Alligator mississippiensis: one gene and its partners. The protein of the gene in region 1 interacts with the protein of each later gene in a pairwise test. Links are inferred from orthologs where the notes say so. Each region holds a gene or a part of one and is shown in the gene's direction. Other genes may lie near its edges.

What was found. The genes of interacting proteins can lie anywhere in the genome.
Region 2: the proteins of VPS52 (region 1) and WTAP interact in binary tests that used the Homo sapiens proteins (3 or more experiments, as listed by UniProt). The two-hybrid records come from large-scale screens. The link is inferred for Alligator mississippiensis from reciprocal best matches to the Homo sapiens genes VPS52 and WTAP.
Region 3: the proteins of VPS52 (region 1) and TSTD2 interact in binary tests that used the Homo sapiens proteins (3 or more experiments, as listed by UniProt). The two-hybrid records come from large-scale screens. The link is inferred for Alligator mississippiensis from reciprocal best matches to the Homo sapiens genes VPS52 and TSTD2.

What each region holds. Positions count from the first base shown.
Region 1 is NC_081834.1:64,782,643-64,792,845, reverse strand, and holds the start of VPS52 (vacuolar protein sorting-associated protein 52 homolog), read left to right. Parts: upstream 1-5,307; 5' UTR 5,308-5,491; coding exon 5,492-5,560; intron 5,561-5,644; coding exon 5,645-5,729; intron 5,730-5,808; coding exon 5,809-5,861; intron 5,862-5,940; coding exon 5,941-6,016; intron 6,017-6,305; coding exon 6,306-6,373; intron 6,374-6,785; coding exon 6,786-6,961; intron 6,962-7,044; coding exon 7,045-7,195; intron 7,196-7,413; coding exon 7,414-7,514; intron 7,515-7,621; coding exon 7,622-7,754; intron 7,755-7,981; coding exon 7,982-8,039; intron 8,040-8,139; coding exon 8,140-8,273; intron 8,274-8,376; coding exon 8,377-8,532; intron 8,533-8,646; coding exon 8,647-8,765; intron 8,766-9,159; coding exon 9,160-9,283; intron 9,284-9,462; coding exon 9,463-9,558; intron 9,559-9,739; coding exon 9,740-9,847; intron 9,848-10,017; coding exon 10,018-10,083; intron 10,084-10,203. Other genes in the region: RPS18 (small ribosomal subunit protein uS13), read right to left, coding at 3,182-3,257, 3,365-3,456, 4,309-4,410, 4,550-4,636, 4,771-4,869, 5,093-5,095. UniProt on the Homo sapiens protein: Acts as a component of the GARP complex that is involved in retrograde transport from early and late endosomes to the trans-Golgi network (TGN).
Region 2 is NC_081824.1:137,731,824-137,742,650, reverse strand, and holds the start of WTAP (pre-mRNA-splicing regulator WTAP), read left to right. Parts: upstream 1-5,917; 5' UTR 5,918-5,956; coding exon 5,957-5,966; intron 5,967-10,827. UniProt on the Homo sapiens protein: Associated component of the WMM complex, a complex that mediates N6-methyladenosine (m6A) methylation of RNAs, a modification that plays a role in the efficiency of mRNA splicing and RNA processing.
Region 3 is NC_081826.1:152,926,208-152,936,517, forward strand, and holds the start of TSTD2 (thiosulfate sulfurtransferase/rhodanese-like domain-containing protein 2), read left to right. Parts: upstream 1-5,400; 5' UTR 5,401-5,510; intron 5,511-5,559; exon of another isoform or gene 5,560-6,293; intron 6,294-7,477; 5' UTR 7,478-7,484; coding exon 7,485-7,676; intron 7,677-10,310. Other genes in the region: NCBP1 (nuclear cap-binding protein subunit 1), read right to left, coding at 2,151-2,236, 5,200-5,233.

The sequences.
Region 1 (10,203 bases):
CTGACAGAGAAAGCTAGTTTTGGAATAAGAAACACTCGCAGGACTGGCGTGATAGCAGAGCAGTTCAGCCAGGCCCAGTCCTTCTCTGGGTAGGGCATGGATAGGCCGATCTATGAGTGTCACAAAGCTGGTGTCAAGTCTTTCATGAAAAGTGAGGATGTCACAGCTGCCCAGGGGAGTTGGGCACAGCTTTCCTCCTCACATGCACGGGGCCTCCCACTCACTTTGGGAGTTGTGAAAGCCCCAGTCCTCCCAAAGCCTCTCCCTGCAGGATGTTGCCATTCCCTTCACCAGCTTCTCCCTGTCCTGGATCAGCAGCACCCAGTAGCTCCTGGCTGTGCAATCCTCACAGCTCTAGTGTTTTGGTTTTGCAGAGACTTACCCAGTAGCACTTGTCCCCACATAGCAACCAGTCCATGGGGCAGAGTCTGAAGCCAGAGCCCTCTGCAGAGAGATGGATATGATCGGTGGTAACAATGCAGTGGCCTGATTCCCCTTCCCTGCCTCCTGCTTTGAGGACACTGGGTTGGCTGGAGCTATTTTTAAGTCCCCTTGGGTTTTCCTGGATTTTAAGGAGGTGCATGGCTCTCCATAGCTCACTGCATAAAGTAGACCATCTTCAGAGCCCCTTGGGAAGCAGAGCTTGCTTCCAGCACAGTGGTCTTGCCATGCCCCTGGCACACTCCCTACAGTGGTGAAGGGAGGTGCAAGGAGCAGGGCTAATGCAGGGCCACACACTAGCTGGAATAGCCCCTGACACAGACAGAGGATTCACTCATTGCAAGGCCCCTTTACATGGTCACAGCAGCCTAGACAGGGCTGGAGCAACAGCAGGCAGGAGCTCAGCGTGAATGCAACAATTGGGAGAAGCGGGGAGCAGCTGAACAGAAAGGAACACGGGGACTCGAGAGCAATGTAGGGAGAGCCATGGGATGGATGTAGTGAGCTAAGATCCCGACAGCTGGGAAAAATAAGGGGGACCTGTGTGACAGTATTATCAAGGTATGCCTGTCATTCCCCCCACCCACCCCCACGGCCAGGAGAGGTCAGCCAGCGCTGGTCAGGCCCAGCTGGAGCACAGCTCTGTGCACTGCAGTGCAGGAAGGTTGGGGAGATGTTGGGAGGATCCAGAGGTGAGCGACAAAGATGTGGAAGGGGCCGGAAAGGAGCAGGAGGTGGGCGTAGTTGGGAAAAGGAGACTAAGGGATATGGGCTGGGGGGCGTGTGTGAATGTGCTGGCAGCAAGCCTCAACTCCTGGAGAGGCTGCCCTAAAGAAGAGGGAGAGCTCCAGTTCACCCTGATGCAGAGGCCAGGACAGGGAGCTGCTGGGTAGATGGCAGCAAGTCAGAGTCAAACTAAACATCAGGAGAATCGCCCTGCTCTCAGTCCATAGAAGGTGGGACGAGCTGCCAGGGAAGTCATGTTTCCTTCCTTGGGGGTTGCAAGAGGAGGCCTCAAGGGTGTCTGGCTGGAACAGCTTAGGAACTGCCCAGCCTGCATCTGTGCAGGGCTTGGAGAAGACAACCTGTGAGACCCGTCCCAGCCCCAGGACACCCCCAAAGTGTGCCCCACAGGCAGCCCCAGCAGAGGTGCAGCCATTTCTTGACTGGCACCCACAGACTGGAGGCCAGACAGGATGGGGCGGTGCATCCACATGGCTTAAGGTAACTGGGTTCCCCCAACAGGGACTCGAGAAGCAGGAGCAGCAGGTACCTGCTGAGGGCACTGGTGCTGGGTCAGGTCAGGTGGGAACCACTCCAGGCACTCGCTACACTCAGGAGTCGACATATTTTTGGTCCCAAATCTGTTGCAGTCCAGGGCTCCTGGGGTCCCTCCATTACCATGGTTGGTCTGAACTAAAGCAGAGCACAGACTAGGGGGCCCAGGCACCAGGCCCTGCTGGGACCTCAGCTGAGTCACTTTGCTCCCCACTCACCCTTGTGCCTGTTTCCCCAGAACAGACCTGATGACAGCTCCTGGCTGTAGAGGACTCTTGGTGCAAGGCCTGGGGCTGCCACCACGCACCAGACAGGACTATCCAACTCCTGACTCTGAGCAGGAGCTTGGAGAGGTTTGTTGGGGACAGTGTCCTGCAGAAACCCTAGTTCTGGTGCAGATCCCACTGATCCAGCTGCTGTCAACTCCTACAGCCTTTGGATGAGCCTTGAAAGGCCAGAGAGCATAGAAGTATTTGGGGCTAGAGCCCCTGGGAACCAGGTTAGAAGGGGGCCTTGAGCCCATCCCCAACACACAAGCCATTGTTTCAGAAAGGTATAGTAGGGCCGCGTTTTGCAGCATCTGGGCACCTAACTGAAGCAGAGATGCTCACTTCATCACTACTATGAAAGGACTAGAATGGACCAGAAGATCAAATGCAGAGTGATTTCAATACAAAAGACGGAACAGAGGAAGAGGGGGCAGGGGGCAACATTGAGAGGGGCACACAAAATAAGTGATAAACCCATGGGGGCTGCAGGGATCCGTAAATGAAGGATGAGAATTTGGAGATGGTCCTTCTAGTGGGCAATGCTACGAGCGTAGGGATTCAGAAATGATCTTGGTGTGGGGCGCAGGGCAGCAGTAGAGGCCAGGTTGAAACAGCTCCTGCAACAGGGAGACCGTAGCCCTGCCCCAGTCCCTGCCCACCCTCTACCCTGAGGGACGGGCTGTGACAGGGATTCCCTCAGGGCTGGGACCAGGTGCAGGATCAGGGGAGCCACATTGGTGTCTTCATGCAAGATCCCAGAAGTGTGTCGGTGAAAATGAAAAAATGGGACCCGTCAGTCACATTGTAAAGTGAGACCTTGCCCGCCTCCTAGTCCCGGAAAATACTCACCTGCCTGGGCCATACAGCCACCCCGTATCCATTGACAAGTGTCAGTGTAACCTTCCCCTTCTTGCACACCGAGTCCCTGCACACACCCCTGCCCCACCTCAACCTCACATAAGCACCTCCTGCCCGTGAACCCCTCAGAGCCCAGGAGACAGGGACAAAGATCAACTCTTTGGGTTGTCAGGTAGCTGCTATCATTTGTCTCACACACTTCCCTGCCCAGGATAGAAGAGAACAGCAGCCCCACGTCCTGCTTCTCCCACCAGCCCTGCCCCAGACTCATCCCTCCAGAGAGAGAAGGGAGGCAGGTCTGAGAACAGCACTTTATTACATACACAGGGAACAGGTTACTTCTTCTTTGAGACACCCACAGTGCGGCCGCGGCGGCCTGTCGTCTTTGTGTGCTGGCCTCGCACACGTAGCCTGCAGTGGAAGGAAAGAGATAACGGTCAGAGCTGAGATATCACCCGCTCTGCCCTCCACCCTGCCTCTGTGGGCAGCGCCACGCCCCATCCCCCAGCCCCACTTACCCCCAGAAGTGACGCAGACCACGATGCGCCCGGATCTTCTTCAGCCGCTCCAGGTCCTCACGCAGCTTGTTGTCAAGCCCGTTGGCCAGCACCTGTGGCAAAGAGGCAGCAGGTCAGAGATGCAGCCTAGCTGGGGCTGAGGTCAGCCAGCCCAGGCCCCACCATGTGGGAGAAGCTGAACTACACACATGTGGGCTGCTGGCAGGGGAGCACCAAGGACAGGCCCCACAGCTCCCAGAACCACAACCACGTGGGAGCTCACCTGTGTCTGGGATACCTCAGACCCTTGGTGCTCTCCCCTTGTTGGAGAGTCCTGAACCTTGCCCCCCTCCCACCCCATTTTGCGGTGCTGGGTAGGTCGCTACATCCCTCCGCACAGATCCTTAGGGCCCAGAAGCAGTTCAGTATGAATCTCAGCCGTTAGCACGCAAAAGAAGGCAGCTGTTAAGCGACAGTTTCGAGAGCAGAGATGTGGAGACCAGGGTCACACCCTGTGCGGATAAGGCGACCCCAGGAAAGAACGAGTGGCAGGCCATAACTCAGTTTCCCTGCTCCTTCAGTCAAAAGCTCAATCTCCGACAGCAATGAGCAAGACCACAGACCTGAACCGTATCCAACTCCCCCATGCCAAGCCACAGGAGTGAGAGTCTGGAACTTGCCCCCAGCCGTTAGGAGGGGATCGTGGAAGCCCGAGACCTTATCTCCCCCTGCAGCAAGTGTCTACATGTTGTCTGACACGTGTAACTGCTCTTAGCCACATTGATAACATCCCTATCAAACAACTGTTAATCAGAGGAGCTAGCTATGGCTTCTGTTGTTCTTCTCCAGATAAAATAAAAGCCCCACGAGCCATCCTGAGTGTAACGGTCCCTTCCCCTGCCAGGCTCAGCCCCCGGTCACGAGCCCTGGGGGATGGCAGGCCTGGAAGGAGCCCCGCCACTCACCTGGCTGTATTTGCCATCCTTGATGTCCTTCTGCCTGTTGAGGAACCAGTCGGGGATCTTGTACTGCCGGGGGTTCTGCATGATAGTGATAACGCGCTCCACCTGCAAGCGGGGAAAGGGGGTTTCTGTAAGCTAAGGTCAGCCGGGGCTCCCCACCCCCCACAGCAGACCTCCCCAGCACCACTCCCTGCAGCCAAACCCCACAGCACCCTGCACCGCACCCTCACCCCGGCCTCCTCACCTCATCCTCCGTCAGCTCCCCGGCCCTCTTGGTCAGGTCAATGTCTGCTTTCCTGAGCACCACATGGGCATAGCGCCGGCCCACGCCCTGCAGGCGAGTGGAGAGCGTAAATACAGGCCTCAGCTCTGGAGAGGGGGTCTGCCCCAGCCCTGCCAGGATCCTGCAGGACGAGCCCCTACCCCAGGGACGGACCCGCAGCCCCCCCGCCGGGTGACCCGCACCTTGATGGCGGTGATGGCGAAGGCGATCTTGCGCCGCCCGTCGATGTTGGTGTTGAGCACGCGGAGAATGTGCTGGAACTTCTCGGGGATCACGAGCGACTGCGCGGGGCAGGAGCAGGTCAAGGGCGATCTTGCGGCCTTCTGCCCCCCGGCTCTCCACCACCCCGGCCCCCTGCGCCCTCCCCGGGGGCCCCGCCGAAAAATGGGACGCGGGGCGCGAAGCCCCAGCCCCGTCCCCCCCAAGGGCCGCCCCGCAGCCGCAGTGCCCCGCGCCCCAGCACGGATGGGCCCCGATGCGCCGCGCGCCCCCGCCCGGCCGTACCATGGTGCCCGCTCCGCTCCGCTCCAGCCCCGTCCGGAAAAGAAAGGGGAAGTGACGCAGTGCCCGGTATTCACCCCCCCAAGGGGCTCCGCGGCTTCCGGTCGGGGCTGTTCCCCTTCCGGCTGGGTGTGAATATCCGGAAGTGACTTCCTGCGGGGGTAGCAGTAAAAGGCATCCGGGTGGGAAACCTGACCCCACAGGGATCCGGAGGCTGTAAACCGTCGTTAGGGCTCCTTTCCCCCGGGTGCCGGATTCCGGCCGCCGGCCGCACTCCAGCTCGGAAAGGGCTTGAATAGTGCACTTCCGGTCAGCTCCCCGGTGCTGTCTGGGAGATGTAGTTCGGTGGAGAACCAGGCCGGAAGTGCTCCCGTGGCCGGCGCGGGGCGGGGCGGAGCAGCGATGGCGGCGCTGCGGCCAGCGGAGGAGCTGGGGCTGCGGGCGGGCGACACGGAGGAGGAGGAGGGCACGGTGAGGCCTCGGGCTGCCTGCCCCTCGCCCTGCGCCCCAGCCCCGGCCCAGGCTGAGCTGTACCCCCCCTTCCCCCCTGTGCAGCCCCCGGGGCGCGGAGAGGAGCAGCCGCTGAACCTGGGGGACCTGGACCTCACCTCGGACGAGTTCATCCTGGACGAAGTGGACAGTGCGTGGGGGCGCGGGGGGGCGCTGGGAGCGAGGGGGGTGGGGTGGGGCCAGCGCTGACTCCCGCTCCTCACCCCCAGTTCACATCCAAGCCAACCTTGAGGACGCCCTGGTGCAGGAGGCGCTGAAGACGGTAAGCTGCCACCTCCTCCCTTGCTGTTCCCTGGTTGCGGCCAGCCCCCCCGGCCTGTGTGACCCCCTCCCCTGCGCAGGGCGTGGACCTCCGGCAGTACTCCAAGCAGGTGGAGCTGGAACTGCAGCAGAATGAGCATGCCTCCATCCGGGACTGTATCCTTGGAGGAGGCGCACAGATGCCCTCAACCACCCTCTGCTGAGCCTAGCGTGAAGCGGGGAGGGGGGAGGATTCAGTTACCCCCGCCCGGGGGAGTTTGGGATGGGGTCTTCTGTGCCCCTGCCCAATCCCCAGCACTGCAGACAGGGGGCTCCACCTGGAGGGAGGGGTGTGCTCCGCTATGTCTCTGGTACCCCGCCCCCCTCCCTGTATCTTGGGGCTGGCTTTCCAGTCCCCCCCCCAACTTCCTTGTTGGTTTCCTGAACGACCCTGGTCATCCCACAGACATCAAAGAGAGCAAGAACATTGCCTCCCTGCACAACCAGATCACTGCCTGTGACACCATCTTGGAGGTGAGACACACCCCCCCCCACATACACATACAGCCCTCCATCCAGCAGACCCCCTTCAGTTCCCATCACTCTCTGCAACCCCACCCGGAAAGGGGCCTACTGCACCCACTCCTGACAGCTTCATAGGCACTGGCAGCACTGCTTCTACAGGGGTGAAACACCCCCTTTCTCTTTTTCCTCTCACAAATTGAACATTAGAGGGGGTGGCTGCAGGGGTGGGATGGGCAGGGAAGTGAGAACAGCTTACCTTCCCTTTGCTCCTGGTTGTTTTGTGCTGGGGTTGGAGACTGGCAGGACATCCGGGGTGTGTGTGTGTGTCTGCTGCGGGGAGATGGTTTCTGCCCCAGTGTGGATGGGTGGGTCACAAGGGTCTGGCCTCTCTGACACTTGCTCTTCCGACGCCCTGGCCCAGCGCATGGAGCAAATGCTGAGCACCTTCCAGTGCGACCTGAGTAGCATCAGCTCGGAGATCCAGACATTGCAGGAGCAGTCAGTGGCCATGAACCTGCGCCTCAAGAACCGCCAGGCTGTGCGCAGCCAGCTCAGCCAGCTGGTCGATGAGCTTGTTGTGCCCGCCAACATGATCAGGTGTGGGGGCCTGGGGCAATCCAGGGGCTGGGGGAGGGAAGTGTCTTCTGGGCTGCCCTTTCATGACTCTATCCCACCTCCAGTACCATCCTGGAGGCGCCGGTAACGGAGCAGGAGTTCCTAGAGCAGCTGCACGAGCTCAACAACAAGATTAACTACGTGAAGGAGCAGGCCTTCCGTGAGACAATGGCCTGTGCCGATGTGCAGCACGTGTTGGAGAAGCTCAAGGTCAAGGTGAGGGTCCATCCGCCCTCTCCCATGTGACCTAGGCTTAAAGGCCAGGGGGAACCATTCCCTGAAGGTCATGGGTCAGGGGTCTTCCCCATCCTTTTCTTGTTCATTTTTGCCTGGAGGAGATGTGGACTTTCCTCTCCTCCCTGCTTATGCAGGGGGCTCCAGCAGCCTCATGGTGCCCAATGACTCCCATGACATCTCTCTGCTTCCCTGAGCAGGCAGTGACCAAGATCCGGGAGTTCATCCTGCAGAAGATCTACTCCTTCCGCAAGCCCATGACCAACTACCAGATTCCCCAGAATGCTCTGCTCAAGTACAGGTGAGCTGGGGGTAGGGGGACCTTCCAGCATCCTCCTCAGCTTGGGGCAGCAGCTGGGCAGGCTCCTGGAGACTCACAGACACCACCCCTCGCCTCATGTCCTCCAGGTTCTTCTACCAGTTCTTGCTAGGGAACGAGCGGGCGGTGGCACAGGAGTTGCGGGAGCAGTACGTGGAGACCATGAGCAAGATCTATCTGTCCTACTTCAAGTCCTACACCAGCCGCCTCATGAAGATCCAGGTTGGGACACGATGCTGCTGGGGAGTGCAGGGCCCCCAGCCCAAGCAGGAACATGGCTGGGGGGTATGGTGGGAACTCAGTGGGATGACTGGGCCAGACTCCCCCATATTACAAGCAAGGGGCAACGGTGCAGCCCTGTGGTGGTGAACCTCCCTGGCTGCCTGTCTGTCCTGTGGGATGCGGGATGGGGCTGGGGTCCTGGTGCTGACTGTTCATCTGTGCTGCAGTATGAAGAGGTGGCTGACAAAGATGACCTGATGGGCGTGGAGGACACGGCGAAAAAGGATATCCTGCTGCCCCAGGGCACGGGGCAGGAGGCAGGGAGGTGTCGGGTGGGGGGAGGAGCAGCATCTCCCTGGTGTTCCCCTTGACTCGTGAGTCCCACGCTTCTTCTCCAAGCCATCGCTGAAGAATCGCAACACCATCTTCACACTGGGCAATCGGGGCAGTGTCATCGGGGCGGCCGAGCTGGAGGGGCCCATCATCGTGCCACACACGGCCCAGAAGAGTGATGTCCGTGTGAGCAGGGGTGGGGGAGGGCAGGGGTCACCACCAGGGGGTCCCCCAGACCCTTGGCAGGGAGGGTTCAGGGTTCACTTCCCCTGCTTCCCCCACATTGCAGTACCCCTTCGAGTCGCTGTTCCGCAGCCAGCACTACGCTCTGCTGGACAACAGCTGCCGCGAGTACCTCTTCCTCTGCGACTTCTTCATGGTGACGGGGCCCAGCGCCCAAGACCTCTTCAACACTGTCATGGGCAAGACCCTTGCCATGTTCCTGGTGTGTGTGTGGGGGGGGGGGTGTTGCAACAGGCTGGAGCTGTGGCTGGGGTCTGTTACTGGGGCAGGGGGCACGGTGCAGGGGGGCCGCATCCTCACCTGCTGCCTTCCCCAGAAACACATGGATGCCTACGTGTGCGACTGCTATGACAGCATCGCTGTCTTCCTGTGCATCCACATCGTCCTGCGCTTCAAGGCCATCATGGCCAAGCGCAACATCCCGGCTGTTGACAAGTAAGTACCTGGGGACATGTCCCACATTGCGAGCCCGCTGCTCCCAGCCCTTATTCCACCCCCTTCTCCCAGCTGCATCAGGGCACAGACACCTGGCACTGGAAGGTGCCAGCATGTATGAGCAGCAGAAAGCTCTCTCTTGCACAGCGCCTCTGCCGCACCAGGAGCGCCATCAGTAGGGATCAGAGTGAACAGGCCATGTCAAATCCTGACTTGAGGAGTCTTGGTTTCCCTTGCTCTAAACCACTAGACACTGTTCCTATTTCCAAATGAAGATGGACCCCAGTAGTCCTGGGTCCCAACCCCCCGCTGCTTTGCTTTAACTGACTGGGACCCCACCCTCATCCCTGAGCTGAGCTGGCATCTGGTGTCTGACCACCTCCCCCGCCGGTAGGTACTGGGACACGCTGCTGGAGATCCTGTGGCCGCGCTTTGAGTACATCCTGGAGCTGAACATCCAGAGCATCCAGAACATGGACCCCCAGAAGCTGGGCTTCCTTGACACACGCCCCCTCTATGTAAGGGCCTCGGGGTAGGGGCTGGGGTCCGTGCAGCCTGTGGGGTGGAAGAGGGAGGCTTTGCCTGTGGTGTATTGGGTGCACTCCCGCTGTGTAGGTGTGAGGGTCTTGAGGCTTTGCCAGGGGTGTTTGGAGGGTGCAGGGAACCCTGCAGTACTCTGACCCTGTTGCCCCTCTAGATCACGCGGCGCTACGCAGAGTTCTCCTCTGCCATCGTCAGCATCAACCAGACCTTCCCCAATGAGCGGACCCACGCCCTGCTGGGGCAGCTGCAGGTATGGGGCGGGCAGGGAGGGGTGGCAAGTACAGCACTGAGCAGAGCCTTGCAGCGGGCAGGGGAGCTGGTGGCAGGTCCCTCCTCTGCAGACAGGCTGGGCATGCCAGTGGAGGGGACTCTGGTATCTGGGGGAGGCGGGTCCTGTCCCGCTGATGCCCATGCACCTGTTCCCTACCCAGGTGGAGGTGGAGAACTTCGTGCTGCGGGTGGCGGCAGAGTTCTCGTCACGCAAGGAGCAGCTTATCTTCCTCATCAACAACTATGACATGATGCTGAGTGTCCTTATGGTAACACCCCCCACATGCTCTCGTGGGAGTGACCCCCAACCCCCTGCTCCCCATCCAAATAGACCCCTTGTCTATACAGTGCATCAGGGCTGTTCCCCTGCCTGTCCCTCCCACCCCCAGCCGGTGCCCTAGGGGTCTCAGGTCGCAGTGGATCCCTGTTCTCTTTGCAGGAGCGGGCAGTGGAGGAAAGCAAGGAGGTAGAGGGCTTTCAGCAGCTACTCTCAGCCCGGACTCAGGTGAGTCACCCTGTAGCCTGCCCCTCCCTGGGGGCATTGTGGGGCTGGGGCAACCGGGCTGTCTGTCCTCTCTGTGGGCCTCCTCAGTTCAGTGTCTCGGCACCCTGCGCCCCCCCCGCA
Region 2 (10,827 bases), on another chromosome or scaffold:
GTGGTGGTGGACGGGTCATATTCGACCTGGGGGGAAGTGGGCAGTGGAGTCCCCCAGGGCTCGGTCCTTGGGCCCGCGCTGTTCAATTTCTTTATCAGTGATTTGGACGATGGGGTGAAAAGCAACCTGTTCAAATGCGCTGATGATACCAAAATCTGGGGTGAGGTGGGCACGCTAGTAGGGAGGGAAAGACTGCAGAAAGACCTGAATAGGTTGCAAGGGTGGGCTGACAAAAACAGGATGCGTTTCAATACGGACAAGTGCAGGGTGCCGCACTTGGGCAGTAGTAACTGGCAACACGCTTATAAGATGGGAAACTCCCTTCTTGAGAGCACGGAGGCAGAAAGGGATCTTGGAGTCATCATTGACTCCAAGATGAACGTGGGCCAACAATGCGAGGTCACGGTCGGCAGGGCTAACCGGACCCTATCATGCATCCACAGGTGCATCTCAAGTAGGGCCAAGGAGGTGATCCTCCCCCTCTACGTGGCACTGGTCAGGCCACAGCTGGAATACTGTGTCCAGTTCTGGGTGCCCCACTTCAAGAGGGATGTGGACAACATTGAGAGGGTCCAGAGGAGGGCCACCTGCATGATCCGGGGACAGCAGGACAGACCCTACACTGAGAGGCTACGGGACCAGAACCTGTTCAGCCTTCACCAGAGAAGGCTGAGGGGGGACCTTGTGACCATCTATAAACTCACTAGGGGGGACCAGAAGCGTTTGGGGGAGACCTTGTTTCCCCCAGCTCCCCCCGGGATAACAAGAAATAACGGCCACAAGTTGTTGGAAAGTAGGTTCAGATTAGACATCCGTAAGAACTACTTCACAGTTAGGGCGGCTAGGATCTGGAACCAACTTCCAAGGGAAGTGGTGCTGGCTCCTACTCTGGGGGTCTTTAAGAAGCGGCTTGATGCCTACATGGCTGGGGTCACTTGAGCCCAGTTTCTCTCCTTCCCAGGCAGGGGGTTGGACTTGAAGATCTACAAGGTCCCTTCCGACCCTACTTGTATGATTCTATGATTCTATGAGGCTGCAAGACATCATGCACACCCACCTCAACCTGATGTTGCAGCAGCTTGTCATGGCACATGCCCTCATACTCACCAGCCACCAGTTGGCCATGCCGCTCATGCTCACCCACCGCACCCTGCACCACAAGCATCGTGGCCAGGGCCACTGACTTTCATGCAACCAATGAAGATGAGGCACTCCAGAATGCCATAGATGCTGGGGTGCTCTGGCACCACCTCCAGACAATCGAGCACTGGTTCTGGGCCTGCGCCACCAGCAGTGACTGGTGGGAGTGGATCATTCTGGGCACCTAGGGCCAGAGACGATCCAAGCAGGGTGCAGGGCCCGGAGCAAATCAGCCTGTGCGGGGCCCTGCACCCAGACATGAGGAAGCCGGTGGCAGATTCAACCGTGGGGAGAAGGACTGGGGGGGTGCTGAGTGGCCAGACATGAAGCCGGAGGCAGAGCGGAGTCGCCGCACTGCTCCGCCTGGCTCAACAGGGCCCCCCAAAGCGTGGGGCCTGGGGCGGTTGCCCTGATTTGCCACCCCCCAGGGACAGCCCTGCCTAAGGCAAGGAACAGTGGCTCCAGACCTTCCTCATGCACTGGCCTACTTTCATGAATGTCATCGCCCAGCTGGTCCCCACACATCACGCGCTAGGACATTGGTATGCAGCCACCCCTCACTTTCGAGAAGCTGGTGGCCATTGCCTTCATGAAGCTGGCTACCCCCATCAGTTACTGCTTCCTGTCAGCCAGTTCAGTATGGTCAGGACCACAGCTGGAGAGGACATCTGGGAGGTGTGCCAGGTCATCCAGGACAACTTGGCCAACTGTTTCATCTGCCTCATCATTCCACTAGAGGTGGTCACTGGCTTCCACTGCATGGGCTTTCCCAACTGCTTGGAGACCATGGGCAGCAACCACATCTCCATCTTGTGCTTGGGTCAGGCCACCCAGACGTTCACCAACCACAAGGGCTACTTCTCCATTGTCCGGCAAGGTGTCATTGACCACTGAGGCCATTTCACTCACATCTTCACCAGCTGGGCAGGCAGCACCCACAATTTCCAGGTCCTTTGCCACTCCCCGCACCTTGGACTGATACAAAGCAGGCACTACACTCCTGGGGCCCCTGGACTCATCATCGTTAACATAATTGTCCCACTGCTTCTCATCAGGGACCCTGCCTACCCCCTCCAGCCCTGACTGACAAAGCTCTATGGGGGGCAACTGGACTGCTGGAAGAAGCGCTTCAACTATTGCCTGAGCAGGTGCTGCATGATGATGGAGAGCACCTTCAGCCACCTCAAGGTATGCCAGTGGACTTTCAGCATGTGCCTTGAGGTGGACTAGGGAAACCTGATGCAACTCATCATTGCCACTAGTGTCCTTCACAACATCTGCAAGACCAGGGGGAGGTTTTCTGTGAGGCCTGAGCTGAGGAGGCACAGCGTGTGGAGTGGATCTGGCAGTGTAGGTACACGCAGCACAGGGATGGAGGAGATGGCAAGCCCCCTGCTGATGTTGTGGGCCCCGGCTCTGCACAGTAGCAGGCTGTCCAGATCTGCAAAGCTTTGGCTGACTACTTCCTCACCCTTGTGGACCAGGAGCCCTTCCCACATAAGTAGGGCCAGTGCCTGTGCCCTGGCACCATGGCATGGGTCTCTTGCCCTAGGCTCCTCAGCCCTGCATCCTGGGCAGTGTTGGCCACAATGGTACCTGGACACTGTTTCATTTCCCCTCCTCCTCCCCAATTTTCCCTCCCCACATTAGGCACACACCAGGGTACGGGGGAATGTGGCACCAGGAAGAAACTTGCCACCAAATTTTTCATGTGTTTAATAAAGAAAACCTGCTGAATGTTGCCCATGGCAGAACTCATTCCCTTTTCCCAATTCATACAAACCAGCAAACCTTCGGAGGGGGCAGTGGGCAGGAGAACCTGGCTGGAAGGGGCAGTTAGGACGGGGTGGGCGGGAGATGTCAGGGGGAATACCACAGGGGCTGAACTCAAACACAAAACCTTGGAGTGGAAGCATGGGGTATGGTGGCTTTTGACCTAGCATCCTGCTTTCAAGGTTCAGAAGTGAAGACCAAGGACTTTTCCAATGTTGCAGCTGGACAGGTGTGTGATCCCAGACCCACTGTCTGTCTGAGAGAGTTGCAAGTCAGGAAGCAGCTGTTGCTTGGGGGGTGGGGGCTTTGTGATGGGTGGCTTCACCACAGTGGACTTTTAGCTCTTCAACATGGGCTCCCTGGCCCCAGGACCCAGTCTCTCCCTTTGAGGAGTCCAGATGGCCCCTGAGTACACTTGAGGCTCCTGTATTGCAGCCGACCTGACCCCTGGGACTGCCTATCTCCACCAACGCTGCACTGATCCCCTACAACAGGACTTAGGCCAAGAGTGGAGCCACGGACAACAGAAGAGTTCCCCCCAGACTCCATGGCTGGCATCAGGACCAGCCCACCATTTTTGGGGCCCCCTGCAAGAAATAGTCTTGGGGCCCCCTGCCCCGAAGAAGCCAGCAGTGGTGGTAGTGGCAGCGGCAGGCGGGAGTGGCGTACAGCCAGATGTGAAGGCAGTGGCAGCAAGCAGCCAGATGCAGGGGCATAGGCAGAGGAAGAAAACAAAATTTGAAGGGGGTGAGTCTGCACAAGTGCATGCGCGCGCACACGCCCCCCCATGGAAAAGTCTGAAGGGGGAGGGGAAAGGGCCAAGAAGGGAAGCAGCATTGCCCAGCACTGCACCGCCCCGGCCAGCTCCCAGCCCCAGCCCTGGTCCCAGCTTCCTCCCAGCCCTGGCCACGCCAGCCCCAGATGCCACACTAACCATGGCTGCCTCCTGGCACTGGCCGCACCGGCCCCAGCCCTGGCAGCATCCTGACCACACTGGCCCAGGCCATTGCACCAGCACTAGCCGTGCTAGCTTCGGCTGTCTCCCAACCCCGGCACCTGACCCGGATGCACCAGCCCTGGCTGCGCACTGGCTGCGGGGGGTGCCCAGAGCCAGGTCCCGAAGCAGGGCCAGCCTCAGCTGCCTGCCGGGCTGGAGGGGATGGAGCGGCACCCACCACATTTGAAGCGGTGGCAGCAAGGCACGGAGACATGGAGCAGAGGCTGAGCCCAGCTCGCAGCTGTGGCCTACCCTCACCCATGCAAAGATCAGGGGGCCATGTGCCCTCCCCCACCCCTTGGCTGCCCAGTGCCGCACCTCTGGAGGAGCCTCTGGGCTCTGATTGAACCACGAATGGGCTAGGCCGGGGCCCCAGTCACAGTGAATGGGGGCTGGGCTGGGTCGTGGAACAATCCCCACAGTAAGGAGGGAGCAGGCCAGGGGTAGTGGTGAATGATTCGCCCTTCCCCTACGTGACTCTCTCCTGCACTTTGGGGGTCTCAATCTGCCCTCCTCCAAGCCCAATGCCTGTGTTGGGCCAGCTGTGATCCTGGCGGCGAGTGTGCACGGTAGCTCAGCGTGCCCACCACTGTAGGAACCTAAGGCCATGCCTGCGGCAGGGGAGCAGCAGCGGTGGTGGCCAATCTCAGGGGAGGCACCCCCTACAGCGGCCAATCGGAGGCAGGGGTGTGAAATCAGAAACTGGAAGTGCTTCCTGCGCCACTGCCACCCCTTCCAGTTTCGTGGCCTGTCGGCACCCCCCACAGCCCTGCACCTGGGGACCCTCCCCCCCGTATCGGTACGTCACTGCCATGCTTCCCTATCTGGGGAGACATTTCAGCCCCGCATCCCTGATGAACTGGGTCTACACTCCCAATATTCCCCTGGTGAGAGTCAGCCAGGCCCTGAGGGATTAGCTTTTCTGGTTCTCCTGGGGGAACTCCAGGCAATACACTGTGCTCCTGCAACATGGTCCCCTGGGAGTATCTCAACAGCTGGAGAGGGGTCATCTGCTGTGATGGCACACTGGGGAACTCTGGGTTGCCATTCAACATTGGATAGAGCTGACACCCCCTCTGGAAGACTTTGCTATTGCTGCTGCTATTGACTTACTGCTCAGCCTGTGACCTGACCCAGAGAGAATTTCCCCAGACCCCAGCTGCATAAGAAGAGCCCTGCCATGGGCTGCCCCTGGCTTTACAACGCTGCTCCTCTACTGAGAATATTCCAGGAGGCAGCTGGAAGGAGAGAGAGAGGGAGTTAGGAAAGACTAGGAGCTTTTTTTGCTAGGGTGAACTGTTTTCATTCCTGCTGTACCACAACTGCACCCTGACCTTGGGGTGCTCTCTGCCAACTCAGCCTGTGGCAATGGCAACTGGAGCAGGGCAGCATATACCTGCAGTTGTAACTGTTTTTTACACTTTGCCTTGGGAGCTCAATAAACGCTTTCAGTGCCTTCCCTTCCGTGCTTGGGAGGAGAGAGAGGTGGTTCCACACAACTGCTCTGGATAGCTGCAATGAGACTCACTTCTTCCAGGAGATCAGCTTGGCCTTAAAAGATAGGGGGGAGAGGGGGATGTCAATAAGGCAGATTTATGTTCTCATTGAATGCCAGGGACTCCCTGTTATTACTGAGAAGGAGCTAGCAGTGAAAAGAACCCCAGGGGGACCAGGCTTCTTGCTAAGAGTAGCAGAACAAGCTACCTGAGCACCTTAGGCTGAGACAGTGCCTACTGTGGAGGTAGTGGCATTGAAATAGTTCAATTGGGCAGAGACTGCTTAGTACAGTGGTCTGCCCAGTGCAAAACTAGCTGCAGCACAGTAACGCCAGAGAGTAGAGCATTAGCTTCTATCCCAACAGCTGAAAGCACCTCTGAAGACCAGCCAGTTAGCCTAAAGAGAAGCACCTGTGGTGGCTGGGTGGTCACAAGACCAGGAGAGCAGAGCCTCAACTACATATAAACTCAGGGTTTGGACCTAGGGGGTTATCTTGCAGACAACCAGGGAAGGAGATCTGTATTACAATGGCTAAGGCACTGTAGTAGCATGCATGCTGGTAAGGAACTGAGAGTTGACTATGAGAGGGGGGGGATTTTCTTATGTAGCTAGAGAGCTTGATTTGATTTATGGCCTGAGGCCTGACTTTTTCCTATTGTTATAATCCAAGGACTGGGATTGGGACTGGCAGGAGGGGTGGAGGTGCCAAAGGGGTATATGAAATTTACAAGCCCTCTTGAGGGCTGGGCTCAGAACATGGGTGAGGAAGGCTGCAGTCTAAAGATGAGGGCACAGACCAAGGCCCTGAAGAACATAGCTGGGGCCCTAAAGGGGCATTATCAGGGCCCTAAGGGCAAAGCTAGAACCCTTGAAGAGGGAGCCCAGGAAGGATGAGAGAAGAGCCTTGAGGGGTGAGTGCTACACCCTTTAGAAAGGAAGCTGGACCTGGGAAGGGGCAGACCCAAATCCTAGGAGGTGAGACCAGAAACTAGATGAGATACTGGCCTGGGGTTGAGGGATCTTCTCCCAGGATGATGAACTGTTAACATGCGCAAGGTATGGGCCTAGCTAGAGTGTAGTCAGAGCCCTAAGGTGCTAACTTACAAAGCTGTTATGAGAACAAAGAGCCAGACCAGTGATTCCTTGGGATTTGAGGCAGCCTCCCAACTCTTTGAGGGGGGGGGGGAAAAGTTGTACCAAAAAAATGGCAGGTGAGGAAAAGGGAGAGACTCTAAACCCGGAGGTGAAAACTGAGAGATTACCAGAGCCTGGGCATTCACCTAGGCCTATAGGCAACATGTAGGGGTGCACATGTTTTTCCCCCCCCCCCTGATTTGTGGCTGCTGCTGGCTTCTGTGGGTGGTTACCATCCACACCTGTCCCCCACTTGCTGCTGATGTGGCCAGTGGTAGTTGTGGGCAGTCCTTGCTAGCTGCCACTGACTGACTGCAGGTGGTCCCCTCTTGCCTCTATGGTACCCTCCCCCTGGTCTCAGGAGGCACCAGTCATTCATGCCTGGGCCACCAGAGATCCTGCTGTGTCTCACTACAATGGGACGTGGGCTGATAAGTGGCCAAGGGAACTAGGTGCCTCAACTGCCTTTCAGGATGGTGGGGTGGGAGTTACTGCTCTGAGTGCTGAAGGATAGAAGCCTTTTGAGCACTTAGAGGCCTGGTGCCCTGCACTGTGAACAGTCAGGGTGGGATGACTCCTCCCTCCCACCCCAGCCCCTTTCTGGCCTTGGCCAAAACCTCCATGAAAGGGGGCTATGACCACAGTAATGGCTTATAGGCTGCAATTCCCCCTGCCCTTCTTTCTCCCAGGGGCTCCCCAGTTTCCCCCAGGGCATTGGTTCCCATCATGGCTGTAATCAAACCATACTGTCCTGGGCTGCCTCCCTTGAGGCCCAAGTCATCGGGGGGGGGGGGGGGGGGCGTGCTGACATGGCCCATGCAGGTCATGTGGCAGCTGTGCTGGGGGTGGGGGGGACACAACTGGGCACTCTGTGCTGTGGCCATCTGTTTGGCTACAGCTGTAGAGCACTTCCTGCATGTGTAACCTGTGATAAACTTAATGTTTGTACCTAGCCTAAGATATTCCTTCAGCCAACTTCTCTTTGGCATGAGAGAGCCTTAAAATAGTGAACTCGAATCTGGGCTCTTATTAATTCTGTGTTCTCTTTGTGATAGCTTTCGCTGTGTAATTCCTTGCTGGCCAGTAATTGTAATGACAAGGGTATTGTGTCTCCACCTCCCCTATGGGAGACTGTCAAACTCCCCCCTCTTTTAGTGATGGTTTTTTTTTTTTTTTTTTTTAAACAAAAAAAGTAAAACAAAAAAATAAACCCTCTAGCCTGTCTCCTCCTGTTTTCTTCCACAGCTTCATTGTCTGAAGGCTCCAGGTAGGCATTCTAGGCTTATCCCTACACCCCTTTCTGTTGGAAGCTTCCCCGGCTGATGGGCTGCTTTTTTTTTTTTTTTTTTCCCTTCTTGCTTTCTCAGCTGTTCATGGTCTACTTAAGCTAAGACAATTACCTTCCTGTCTTGCAGTGTCTTCCTGAGTCTCATTTCTTAAAATCCTACTCTCTGGGGTCATGTTACTGCATTAAAACTAGTCCATTTACTACTGCTGTAGTGGAGAGAGCCTAGACACATGAACAACATACAATTCAAGGACCCCAAATTCAGGATCCAAAATAGAATTTAAAACTTGTACTTAATTTCTTGATTCTAAAACAAAACCTGTTGTTGTGGGCCAGACTCGTGTGGTCAAAATTCATGATGGTTGATGGCGCCATATCAATCTTAACTGGGCCCAGCTATTCTTATTTGTAAATTCGTCCAAGGTACATAGCCACACTTCCTAAAACACTAGTTTCCAGCCATATGATTCAACCGTAGCAAAGGTGTGCTCAGAGCCCAATAGCTCCCCTCTTGGCTGCTCAGTGAATCCAACCATCCCCTTCAAGTACTTTTATTTATAATGACATTTCTAGCTTTGTCAGATCTGGCAGCCAGTAGGTGCTGTATGAAACTGAACACCAGGCACAAAAAAGGGGTAGTACCAGCTGAACTGAGGAACCAGAAAGAAGAGGAGATTAGGTGAGAACAGGAGAATAATAGTAACAGAACCTTTAAGATGCATTTTAAAATGTCAATAAAAGAATGATTTTTATGCCTAGAAAGTATTTTAACATGTTTTGTTTTTATAATTGATCTCCATGTTGAAACATTAAAAGCAAAACAAAGCTAAGCAAGAAAGAAGTGTTCATGCTCAAGCTCCTTAGCAGTAGGATAATTGGATTAATGTGCAGGTCCAGCATTCATAGAACCTATAACAGGCTGAGGAGATTAAAAGCAGTACTCAGACTGTCAATAACCATAGTCCACAGAACTGGACTGACCTTGGAAGCTAAGTAAGTTTGTGTTTGGCTAGTAATTTTCTGGGACCCACCTTGGAATAGTGGGTGCTGCATACTTCCTGATTCTTTAGGGCCACAATGTGATTTATTCAGTACATTTCCCAACTTTGCCATGAAAAGCAGGTGCACAGAGAGAGTTTTGTTGGGTTTTTGTTTTTAAATAGATCATCTGATCTCACTAATACATCTTGAACAACTGTGGGGGGGAGGAAACACTATACTGTAGAAGTATAAAACTACTAATGTTGCAACACTATTGTGCTTCCTGGAAGTAAAATGTTTAATGGCATCTTAAAATATTTAAGTATCTTTTTGCATTTAACTTGTGGGACTATTTTACTGGTGTTCCTCTTTCACTCTGAATACTTTTTTTTTTTTTTTTTTTTTTTTTTCCATCCTTGCATGTCAGCTGTTATGCAAATGTGGCACAGAATATTCATACAGGTGGTGAGAGAAATCTATACCTATTCTCCATTGCATACTTTTGTTTGCACATGAGTGGGGGGAGGAGGGGGCAACAGCAAACTTTAAAAAAAAAAAAAAAAATGTAGAATGAATGTTGCATTGCATTTTATTTGTACTAACATAGGACCAAGAAGCTGTAACTGAAATTGGGCCTTACTCAGCAGAACAATGTACCTGTTACTAATAGTCTAGACCTTGAAGATTTTGTCATTTTTGAAAGAAACACTAGAATAAATGATAGACCTTGATGCTTTTTTACACTTTTTTTTAAAATTTTATTTATTTATTTTTTTTTAAATCTCCTGTAATTTGAAGGGACAGAAAATATGAAGGCAGGAGGAATATTAAGAGCTTTGCTGAATTAATACTACACTCTTGTATTTACCTGGTTCACTCTCATTCTGCCCAACTAATTAGCTCACTTGAACTTATTCTGTAGGGTTAAATAAACAAGCTGGCAAATCTTTTCTTTTTGCACTTGTAGAATTATCCTCTGTCCATCTCACTGTTGCATGAACAAATCCAGAAGTATTCTATTTACTACCTTGGTGTTCCTATCAAGGGCTGTGCCTACAATTTGGCAGCCTTCAGACTATATTATACCCCTCGCATATTACTAATGAATACAGAATTGGACATCTTTAAAGAACATTGCAAGGCAAGTGTGGTGGAATGGTCGGGGGGGGGGAGGGAAAAGGAGAACAAGCGAAATGTAGCATCTCTTCAGTTTCTGAAGTCCTAGAGAATGAAGTGTGACTTTAAATTTGTGACAAAACACTTTGATTTAAATATTTTTGAAGATGGGTCCTGCATTTCCCTGAAATACTTTAGTGTGACACTGTCAAGTAATTTAAAGAGGAGTAATGCTCTGAAAACTGAATAAGGAAATAACCACTTCTTACTAGCAGAACCATCTCCTATATGTCATATGCCCTCTAGCGACAAATGTTTATGCTGCTTTAGCTTTGTGGTATTACTAGGAGTGAAATACCACAGAGTTAACAACAGAAAGCGGGTAAGTTCTTTCTGCATCACTACTGGAGAGTCCTCAGTCATGCAACCTAGCTGCACAAGCAGCAGATGCATTTAGGCCAGCAGAACCTCTTGTCCCTTGTATCGGGAGGGACACACTTACTTGTCAACTAGGCAGCTCTGATTAAGCAACTACGGGGGGGGGGGTTAGCTCCCAGAGTCAGCCTGGGTGTTTATTTTGCTTGAATAAGTACAAGGGAAGCCAAAACAAGTTCCTTCAAATTGTACACCAGTTAATGGGGATTTGGCTATCAGGCAATATTAATAAGAGTAGCTACATGGCAAGCATGTTTTGTGATTTCTTTGCTCTACCTGGTGGTGAGGTCTTGGGGCCCTTAGGATCTGTTCTTATTGTTTTAAGGCAAGTTCCAGACTCCCACACCTGTGTGCATGCACATGTGGGAGGGGTGGGGAAGAAGATTGCAGATACAGTTATACTGTTCACTTTCAGATTTTCTGTATTCCTGCCCACTTCTCTGACATGAGGATCTCTTGGCTGAGT
Region 3 (10,310 bases), on another chromosome or scaffold:
TGTGCTCCTCACTCCCAACCTGCAGCCCCTGGCCCTACCAGTGCCTCTCACTGCTGACCCACAGACCCCTGGCCCCCCTAGCCCTGCCAGAGAGGGCCCCCCACTGCTAGGGCTACAGGACCATGCTGCTCACTCTCTGCTGCATGGGCACCAGCTGCAGCCAGCCAGCAGCACCTGAGCCCCAGCTGCTGTGTGGGAAGCAACAGCTTGCTGCAGCCAGTGTGAATCACAGACCCCACTGGCCCCCTGCTTCTCTCTGATGGTGGCACAGCTGAAGCGGAGCTCATGGGGAATGGGGGAGTATGTGGGCTCCCTGCTGCAGGGCTACATGCCCTGCTGCCCTCCCCCAAGAAACCTCCACAGGCCAGCAGGCAGGACCCAAAATGGGAGGGCAGAGCAGGGCAAGAAGCCTCAATGTTGCCACTGCCATGAGCCCTGTGCTAGTCATGCTGCCACGGTGAGGTGCCCCCTGCAGGCCCAGCAGCAGCAGGGGTGGTGGTGGCACTGAGGAGTTGCGCCCCTTGCCCTCCACCCCAGCAAGGAGGGGGGCGCCTCATCGTGGTGGCATGGCCAGAGCAGGGCTCCCGGCAATGGCAGCACCAAGCCTCCCCACCCCACTTTGAACCTCCTGCACTGGGTCCCGCCTGTTGGACTGTGGAAGCCAGGGGGAATGCAGCAGAGCAGGGACCCCTGAGCCCATGTGCCCTCCCCAACGCACTGCCTCTGGTACAACAACCTGTCCCTGGGAGTGCACACACAGGTGAGAAGCCAGCCTTCCTCTTCACCAGATGAGCCAGCTGTGGCTCTGTTCCACTCCCCCAGCAGGCCCTGCAGTTGTGCATTCCGCCCTGGCCCCAGGCCCTGCGCACCACCCCAGCTGGGTAGCACCCCCAGCCCCCAACTCTGCCCCATTTCCCCCCTCACCATGGGGGCCTCAATCTGCCCCTCCCATTACCTATGACCTCCCCCAAGAGACTTACCTGCAGGCAGCTGGGGGAACTGCTCTCCACCACTGTCTGTACTACATGCGGCACCCTCTGAGTCTTGCTCCCCCCAGCCCCAAGCAGCCCCTTGTAGGCTGGAATTCTCTCAGCCATCAAAGGGAAACCCACAGTTTCCCACGTTTTTCTCCTTTAAAGGAGAAAATCTGGGTTTTTCTGCGGCAAAGAGAACACCCAGATCTCTGTTCATTACAAAACCAATTAACCTACTACCTGAACCACAAAAGGAGAAAAACAACACAGAGAAGTTTCTGGATTTAAAGTTAACTATGAAAAGTCACAACTCCTAGACATTGGTATAGGACCAGATCAATGAAGAGAGACAGTTATAAATATAAACGGGTAACTACTTCATTAAAATACCGAAGGGGGAATACTACTAAAAAAAAAAGACAGGACTTGTATAGCTACAATTTTACTCCTTTGATTGAAACAAGATTCTAAAACAGATTTATAGAACTGGCCAAAATATGAAATTTCATGGTTAGGTAGAATTACAGCAATTAAAATGAATGCTCTAGTCTAGCTTGCTTTACTTTATTATTCCAAACACTACCTATTGTAGTGCCAACAAATCTTTTACATGAGTAGCAGACTATGAAAGATAAATTTATTTAGGGAAATAAGAAACTTAGATTTAAGAATTCTATCCTGAAAAGACTTCAGCAAAAGGAGAAAGAAATTTAAGCTTCCAAACATTAAGCATTACTTTGGTAGAAAGAAAAGTAGGGTTCAAAGGGACTTCCAGAGGTCTAGTCCAAGCTCCTTGAGGCTGGATCATTACATACCATCCATTATCTAACCCATTCCTAACTCTACACAAATCAACCTTGTCACACAACTGCAAGGCAAATTGCCCAAAGACATCAAAAGCACCCTACCCTACCACAAGTGAAATAGAGAGACAAGTCAGTGTCTAACTGCTGCAAGGATGTTAAAATGCACTCAAGAGAACTAAGAAAGAAGGTCAAGCCCCCACTACAGAGTAAATTGACAACATTTTGAGTAGGTAATTTTTCACAATTACTTTTGGATATTTTTTTTGGACTCTTAATTGAATTCAAACTCAGCATTATTAAAAAAAAAGACAGATGCCAGAAATCTTGTGCCCAAGCATGTTAAGGACCATAACTTACTGCTAACTCTTACCTTCTCACCCACTCTGCATATTAAAGATTCTAGTCTCTCTTCAATTTCAGATGGCTCGGATGTTCTCCTCCTTTTATGAGTTTGCCCTGTTTCAACATATTAATAAAAATCAAGAATAAATGTTAAAATTATTCCTTGCTTAATTTTTAAGAGTTTGCTTAACGGTTCCGTCAGTCCCATTCTCATTCTAATTTTTTACTACACCAAGGACACACGACATTACTACTGTTATCCAAGACAGACCAAATAAATGTTAAAATTAACAAAGACAACATTTGTACTTCTACACAAATCTTACTCTTCATACAATGCCCAATTTTGACATCTTATTAGGAAGTAATTTCACAATGCCAATAGCAGCATATTATAAAGCTAAAAAAATGACTGGAGAATTAACTTTATTAATTTTATGTTCCCCATTAAGCATCCCATTGTGTTCTCTGACACCTGTGTTAAAATGTGATGAACCTTGAGCAAGGGATTGTATCATAGATCCCTTTAAATGTATTTACACTTTTTTAATTTGGGAAAATGACTAGACACTTGAGACTCTGGCAAACTAAAAAAAAAAACGGAGACTTATTAAAAGGGTTTAAAAGTTGAAACAATGATTTGGAATTCATCTCTGCCAGTAAAAGGTAAAAAACCCAAGCAGTAAAATAATAAAATTCTGCATGGGTAGAGAATCTACTATTAATTCATTTTTAATTATATATGCCCAAAGTGCTGAACCTATTCTATTTTTTTCCTACATACTGTTATGTTGTTCATGTCACTAATATCTGAACATACTCTAACAGTGCTTTAAGCCAATGTTGCCATTCTGTCTTCTCCTGAGGTAGTGGTGGGAGGAGATTTTTACATAAAGTTAGCTCATCTTGTTTTATTTCTTAAAGCATACATGTCATTCTGTCCATTTGACAAGCCAGGTAGAATGCACTTTGTCTTTGCAGCAGAAGGTGGTAAGGCTGATGCTAGTCCTCTATTCCCGAGGAAGTTAATTCCAGACTAGAATGCACTCCCTGCACAAACATGTTTTCCCATTTGGGCAGAAGATTCCACCACACCAGAACAGCAAAACTGTCAACAACAGTCTCCCCAGAGCCGTAGATAACACTTTAGATGTACTGACTCCAAGCAGCTGAGCACCTTGAAAACATGAAAAGTGACCTAAACTTGATTTTATGTTATAAAGAAAAAGAGCAGAGGGCCAATCCGATGTCCCTACTGCAGCCTACATCACTGAGGAAATATTGCAGCATTTTTACTGTTCAGATTTCCTAAATGCTGATGGCTTATTCCTCAAGTGTACAGTAAACCTGATGGGAAATGACAAAAAGTGTGTAGAATAGACTGGGGTCACTGTCTGCCAGGACAAGATGATGCCAAGGCAGCAAGAAACAGTCTGTGACAGAAGGATCTGTGTTCTTGCACTCCTCACCAATACCACAGACTGAACTGACCAGTTACTATGGTCATCTTTAACCAAAGAAGGCTGCACACTAGCTCTTGGTCATGTTTATGTTTAGACAGATGCTGTCCATCTATAACTGATTTTGTGCAGGCACTGGGATACCTTGGTAATACTGAGATGGCTGTATAAAAAGGTAAAAGTAGAGCAGTTAGTCATCTGCATATGGCTAGCACTTGTAGTCAGTCTATCCAGTAGCTGCACATGGAACAGAACTCCAGGATATCAGGCAGACTACTAGTTGCTATGAGGGAGAAGATCCATGTGAAATAGCACACTAGTTTTTTGCAGTGCTTGTGGCTGGATTCTGTTGCAAATAGTACCAACATGCTGTGCTAGTCCATATCACTCCTTATAAAGGAATTTCACAGTTTCAGAGTGATAGGAAGCCTCTTTTGGTCTATAATACAGCTTCACAGGCTAACAGAAACATTTCACCCTTTGTTTCTGCCTTCTCTGTTCATCTAATGTAGCGTCAAAAATCAAAATCTAGGTGGACAATGCGTACGTAGACAGCCACTTTTAAACAGTATACTGATGTGCAAGGCTTATATACAACAATAATTTGCCAGATCCACAGATCCTAAGTAATACTGCATGAATGCTTCCCTATAACATCATAGGCCAGGTGTCAAACATGGCCCACAGGCCAGGTCTACCCTACACAGCCATTCTACCTGGACTATGGGACTACCAGCAGTTGGACCCCCAGAAGTTGTGGGTCATGACCAGGGGAAAGTGGGCAGTGGGAGGCCTGCTGCCAAATCCATGGACCTCAGGACATGGTGACTGAGGCAACTGGTGACAGTAAGGTGAGCAAGGGCTCACACAGCCCCAGTCACCCTCTGCATGTGATGCCTACCTGCCATGCCCCTGACTCTCTGGCCATTGGTCCCTGCCCCATGCCCCATACTGGAGCCAGAGATGCTGCTGTGTACCCCAAGTCCGAGCAACAGCTACCACCACCACCATCATGTGCTCTGGGTCAGAGTTGGAGCTGCTGCTTCCTCATGACTTGGGCTGGATACAGCCCAGAGAATGCTGATCCAGCCCAGGACACGGGAGGAGTTTGACCACGGTTAGAGGCAGTTATGGAAGACAGCAGAGCTCCACATCGGAGGATCCTGCACAGGGTCGCAGGAGCCACAGCACTGCCGATGCAGATAAGATACATTAGGAACGATATGCCAACCAGAACTGCTGCCACAGATGTTACCTCCCACGTTCCTTTCCTGACATGCACTTAGCACCTGCTACTTGACAAGGAACCCCAAATGGCTGACAGGCCCTGGCCCCTGCCCCACACCTAGCAAACCATACAAAGCCCTTGGGAACATAAGGTTCGCATTCGTTTCCCCAAAGTAAAACGAGACGCGGCCACGCTCCCGGCACGGGACCGAGAGCAGCACGCGGCCGACACATTCACCCGCGCGCGGATCCCAGCGCCTACAGCTGGTCGCAGGCAGATGCCCAGGCCGCGCCGGGAGGCTCCCCGCCCCCCGGGCAGGAAGCGCGGGGCGGCCCCGGGACCCTGCCGCTCCGCGCTGCCCGGTTGGGCGCCGCTACCCGGGCCCTCACCATCGCTGTCGTCGCTGTGCCTCCTCCGCGACATGCCGGGCGGCGGGGCGGCACCGGGGACCGTGAGCGGGCGGGCGAGAATCTGCGCGGAGCGAAGGCCGCAGCGGCAACGGGCGCTTCTGGCGCGCTCTGTTCCCCCTCCCCACTTCCGGCCGGCCACAAGCGCCTTCCGGGGCAAAGGGCGGGGGAAGAGGAGGAAGAGGCTCCGCAGTAGCTTCCGCCGTCCTCTACCCAGCCCGGAAGTGGCTCAGGCGCTACATGACGTGGGCACGCGAGACCCGCGGGATATCTCGGCCCGGACTAAGAGTTTAGTAAGTGCTGCGGTCGCCGTGAGCCGGCAGCCTGAGTCGGCGTCCGAGTAAAAGCCACCTTCTCCTGGGAGGCCCAGCCCCTCCCCTCCCCTCCCCTCCCCTCGAGGCTTATGTCTCCGTGGACTAAAGTGCGCCCGGCCCGGCCGCGGCACTCGCGGCGGTGCCTCCCCGCGGCCTTCGGCATTTGGTCGAAGCCAATGCTTCGGTCTCTCCGGAGGGCCGGCCGGGGCCGGGCTCGGGCTCGGGCCCGGCCTCCTCCACCACGTCTCCGCGGGGCAAGTTCTGCGCTGCGGCCGAGGCTGCCTCGGGCCGGGAGGCAGTTGGCGGCGCCGAGGGCTGCCAGGGGTGCAGATGAGAGACAGGCCTGCAGCCCTGCGCCTCGGGCCAGGCCTTTGGCCCAGGCCCTGGCTACACGCTCTGTATGCTCTGCGATTCACTGGTCAGTTGCACAATAAGTTTAGACCAGCTGCAAGTGTAAAGTAATTGTCCCACCATAAAAATGCCCCTGGCTACAAAAAGAACCAACCAGCAAAAAAGTTCTTGAAAATGGGTGATATCTGTAGCTGGTTTCTATCCAGCTTTCATTTGAATGTACAGCAGCCCCTGAGACGCCAGAGGACCTATTGCAGGATAGCAAGGGGGGACACACTCAGTGGAGATGGGGTATCTGCAGTGACTCGGCTCAGGGAGGTACCCATTGTCTTCTGCGCTGACAACAGACTTGCCTGTTTAAAACCATCTCCTAACCTGTTTGCTTTACGTGGCCCTCGCTGCGAACACCTGGTACGTAGTTTGCATTTTCTGGAAATCTGCTGTGCCACTGAACTGCTACCTGCCTGGTGGAGGTTCAGGCTGTGGGGGTCCTTCTGAAAAAGTTTCACAATAAGAGAGAGAGAACACCAGACACACCCAGAACCATGTCCTGGTTAAGAGTTCTTAACGTTTTTCTTCACCCCATTCCCCCAGCATGCTATAAAACCTCCATGGCTTGCCTCACCTATACCTGGATGCAGAGAGTGGGACTTGGTGGCCACTCAACTGAGCAGCAGCAGTACAGAGCCTCACTTGCCTGCCCACAGCCACCACCCAGAAGATGGAGATGGTGGGGCAAGCCCACTCCCACCCCTTCCTTGGGACTTGCCTCAGCCCAGGGGGACTGGGCCAGGCAGACCCTCTGAAATGTTCTCATGGTCCTCCAGGGGGATGCTGCCCCTCTGTTTGAGAGCCAGTGTTCCAGATGCAACATCTATCTGCCTAGTTCATTGCTGCATCTTGTGGGTTTGGTTGACTTGTATTGATAGTTTCACCACTGGGATAAATGCCTTGCAGCTGCTGTTTTGTTAGGAAAAAATGGTTGCAAAAAGGTTGTGAATTGTAAATAGTTCCTCAACCAAAGCATTTCCAGGATGAAGGGTGTGGGGTTAGACATGCTTCCTTCAGTAGCCAAACTCAGCAGAATTAGCTTCCTGCAAATGAGAGCAGAGGGAACAGGAGGCCTATAGGGAGGAAGAACTGTACCTTCTAGCATCAAACTCTAATCCCCTGTGCAATAGTTGACCCACTGATCCATCACACAGTTGTAAACTGGCCAGGATTTTTAAAAAATAGTTATTGTTTAGGTTTAAAGCCATCTGGCAAAATTAAAGTGTGGAGGGGACTGCACAAGTCTCCTGTTCACTACTTAGTCTGATATTTCTGCTCTCAGTTATTTGATGCTGGGGATCTTAGGACAGATCTTTGATTACTTCTTCCTTGAAATTTGTTGTATATTCTTAAAATGTTGTCCTAATAATAGGATAGAACTTGCAGCTTGCTCACTCTTTTGCTGTTGTAAGACAGTGACAGTAAAAGACTGCAGAGAAATATTTTTTAACAATGAGTTTCTTTTCTTTTAAATGTATGTGTGAAACTGAAATAATGTTACTTAGTGTACATACTAAAACGTTGTTTGCACCTTTTTTCTTTAGGAAACTTATGCCTAGCTCTGGTGCTGTAGCAATGATTTCCTCCTCGGAGCTGCTGGCTGGAGAAGATGAAGTGGAGTCTTGTGTATTAAAATTTCCAGAGCTGGATCTGAAAGAATCTGTTCCTCTCACATCCAAACCTAGGCTGAAAGTGGAATTAGATGCCAGTGTGAGAAAGAAGTATGCATTTGCAAAGAAGAAGGTATGTTTTCTCTCACTTTATTACATATGTTCATTTTATGTAGCACAGAACAATATTCCTTCATTAGTTTGAGTGACTAAATTCATAGAATCACCATTTTGTTCATACCAATTGCCTTACTTCTTGTTATTGTATTTGGCTGTAAATTAATTTGTTGTCATCACATTATTTAAATCAGAGCTGTCCAACTTCTAAGCAGCTGGGGACTGTATGCCCCATGGGATGAGTCAGTGGGGGCTGCACTAGCAGAGGCCATGGGCCCCCTCAGACTGCACCTTGCACACACAGGTGGGTGCTCCCCCAGCCCACTGCACTGTGAGTGAGGACAGGTGATTTCTTTACCCTGTTGTACTGTTTTCCAGGTGGGTAAGTGCTTCCCAATCCCATTGCACTGAGCACACGGACAGGTACTCATTCACCCCACTGCACTGCATGCACAGAAGCAGGTGCCCAGCCTCACCTGCAGCTTTTTGCAGGCTCCTTAGTGGCATCATGCTGCACAGATGTTCCTGGGGCTGCTGGCTTCCCTGGCACCATGGGCTGTGCCATTTTGTGCTGCCCTGCCCTGCTCCCAGAGGCTGGGTTAGGCAGTGAATACTAGTCCTAAGCCCCTGCTGCTGCTGCCGCCTAGAGTGAAAAGGGCATGGGCAACCAAGTTGTGGGAGGGGAGAGAGAATGAGTCCATAAATTAACTCCTTGTGGGCTGCTAGTTCAGGAGCCCTGATTTAAACTAAAGGAGTCAGCAGTGTCATCACCATTTATTTACTTTAAAGGACTGACATGATGTGAAGCCATGACTCAGCAAAGCACCTGAAATCATAGATAAATAAGACGGAAAAGGGCTTTAGCGGTCAGCTAGTTTAGCCCCCTGCTCTGTGCAGTACTTAACCACAGACTTAACTTTAAGTGCTTTGCTCAACAGTGTGGGATTGAAATATGGTGATATATATTTGAGGACTTTGCTGATATCTGAAGAAGAGACTTCACTGCATTAAATTGGTACTGCAGGATAATAACTTCCTATTGCAAAAAAGATGTAAATACAAATTCAAAACTAAGTTTCAAGCCTAGAGCAGGGATTGTCAGCCTATGGCTCCCACACCAGATCCAGTTGAAGGTCAGACTCGATTCAGGGCAGCACAAGGAATCAGGCAGAATGCAGCTGTGCACAGCTGTCTTTCCCCTCAGCAGTTTCCTGCTCTGTAGCCTTCCCTGCTGTCTCCTACTTGCACTTAACCTCATTGCAGTGGGGCCAGGTATCTGCTGCTATACCCCACATGTTGCATTGATCAGTTACAGCATTTGTTCAGACTTAACAGAGATGCAAAGAACAGCAGGTGGTTAATTCTTCAGCAGTGATTTGAGTGTGAACTTCCATTTCAATATGGATTGCTGCCTGGGGTAAATGAAGGTTATTACAGTTTTAAGTAGAGGTGCACCCATATATCAGTCGCATTTCGAATCAGCACAGATAACAGGAAAATTAACATAATTGGTAATCGGCTTTTTTTGGCCAATAATATCAGGGATAAATGCTGCGTGCATGCATGCATGCAGCTGTGGCATGCACACAGCCGGGAATGCAGCCCAGCAGCTTGGAGATCAGTGTCTGGCTGTAAGTCTGTGGGCGAAGGGGCATCAGGGGAGAAAGGGGGTGTGCAGATTGAGGCCCCCATGGTGAGGCAGGGAGTAGGACAGGGGCAGGTGCTGCGCAGCCAGGGCGGTGAGTGCAACTCCACTGGGAGTGGGACAGAGCCATGGGAAGCTCATCTGGAGGGCGCATGGGGTGGGGGGTGGTTCCCTGCCGCTGTGCACACCCCTGAGCAAGGCATGGGGGGCATGTGCCCCCCTGGTTTGTGCACAGCATGAGGGCGAGCTGCCCATTGCGGGCTTGGGGTCAGGGGCTGCACCAGCCTCTTCCTGGTGGTGGGGCTGGGCTGGGGCTGCACTCCAAGCAAGTGCGGGGTGGGGCGGATGGCAGTGGCACTGGGAGGGGGGCTACGGGCTGGCTATGGGGAATTTTGGGGTGGCTGTAGCCACCCCTCCCAGTACCACTGCTACTCACCCTGCCCTCTCCTGCCCCGAGTGCAGCCCCAGCCTCTCCGTTGGGAAGAGGCCAGCGCAGCCCCTGGCCCTGAGCCCACAGTGGGCAGCTCACCCTTGCCCCGCACGCAATTCCAGTGTGGGGGGGGGCGCACATGCATCCCTCAGGGGTGTGTGCATCAGCGGGAGCTGTCCTGTGCCCCTCGGATGAGCCACCTGCAGCTCCATCCCACTCCTGGTGGGGTCACATTCACGCCCTGGCTGGGCAGATCATGCCCTTGCCCCTGCCTCACCATGGAGGCTTCGATCTGTGTCCCCCATGCCTCTTCCACCCTGGCAGACCTTCCTACCGGATGCTGCTCTCCAAGCTGCTGGTTGCATTCCTGTAAATCGGCTGTTGGATTGGTATCGGCCGATACGCCTCATCAATAATCAGCCATTGGTATCAGCCAAGAAAATCTTTATCAGGGCACCCCTAATTTTAAGCTACATGGGAACTTTTACATGTTCTTAGGTGGGGGTTTTTTAATATATTGCAAAGTATTTTGACACTATCTGCTACTTTCATTCATACTCACAAGGCAATAGAAG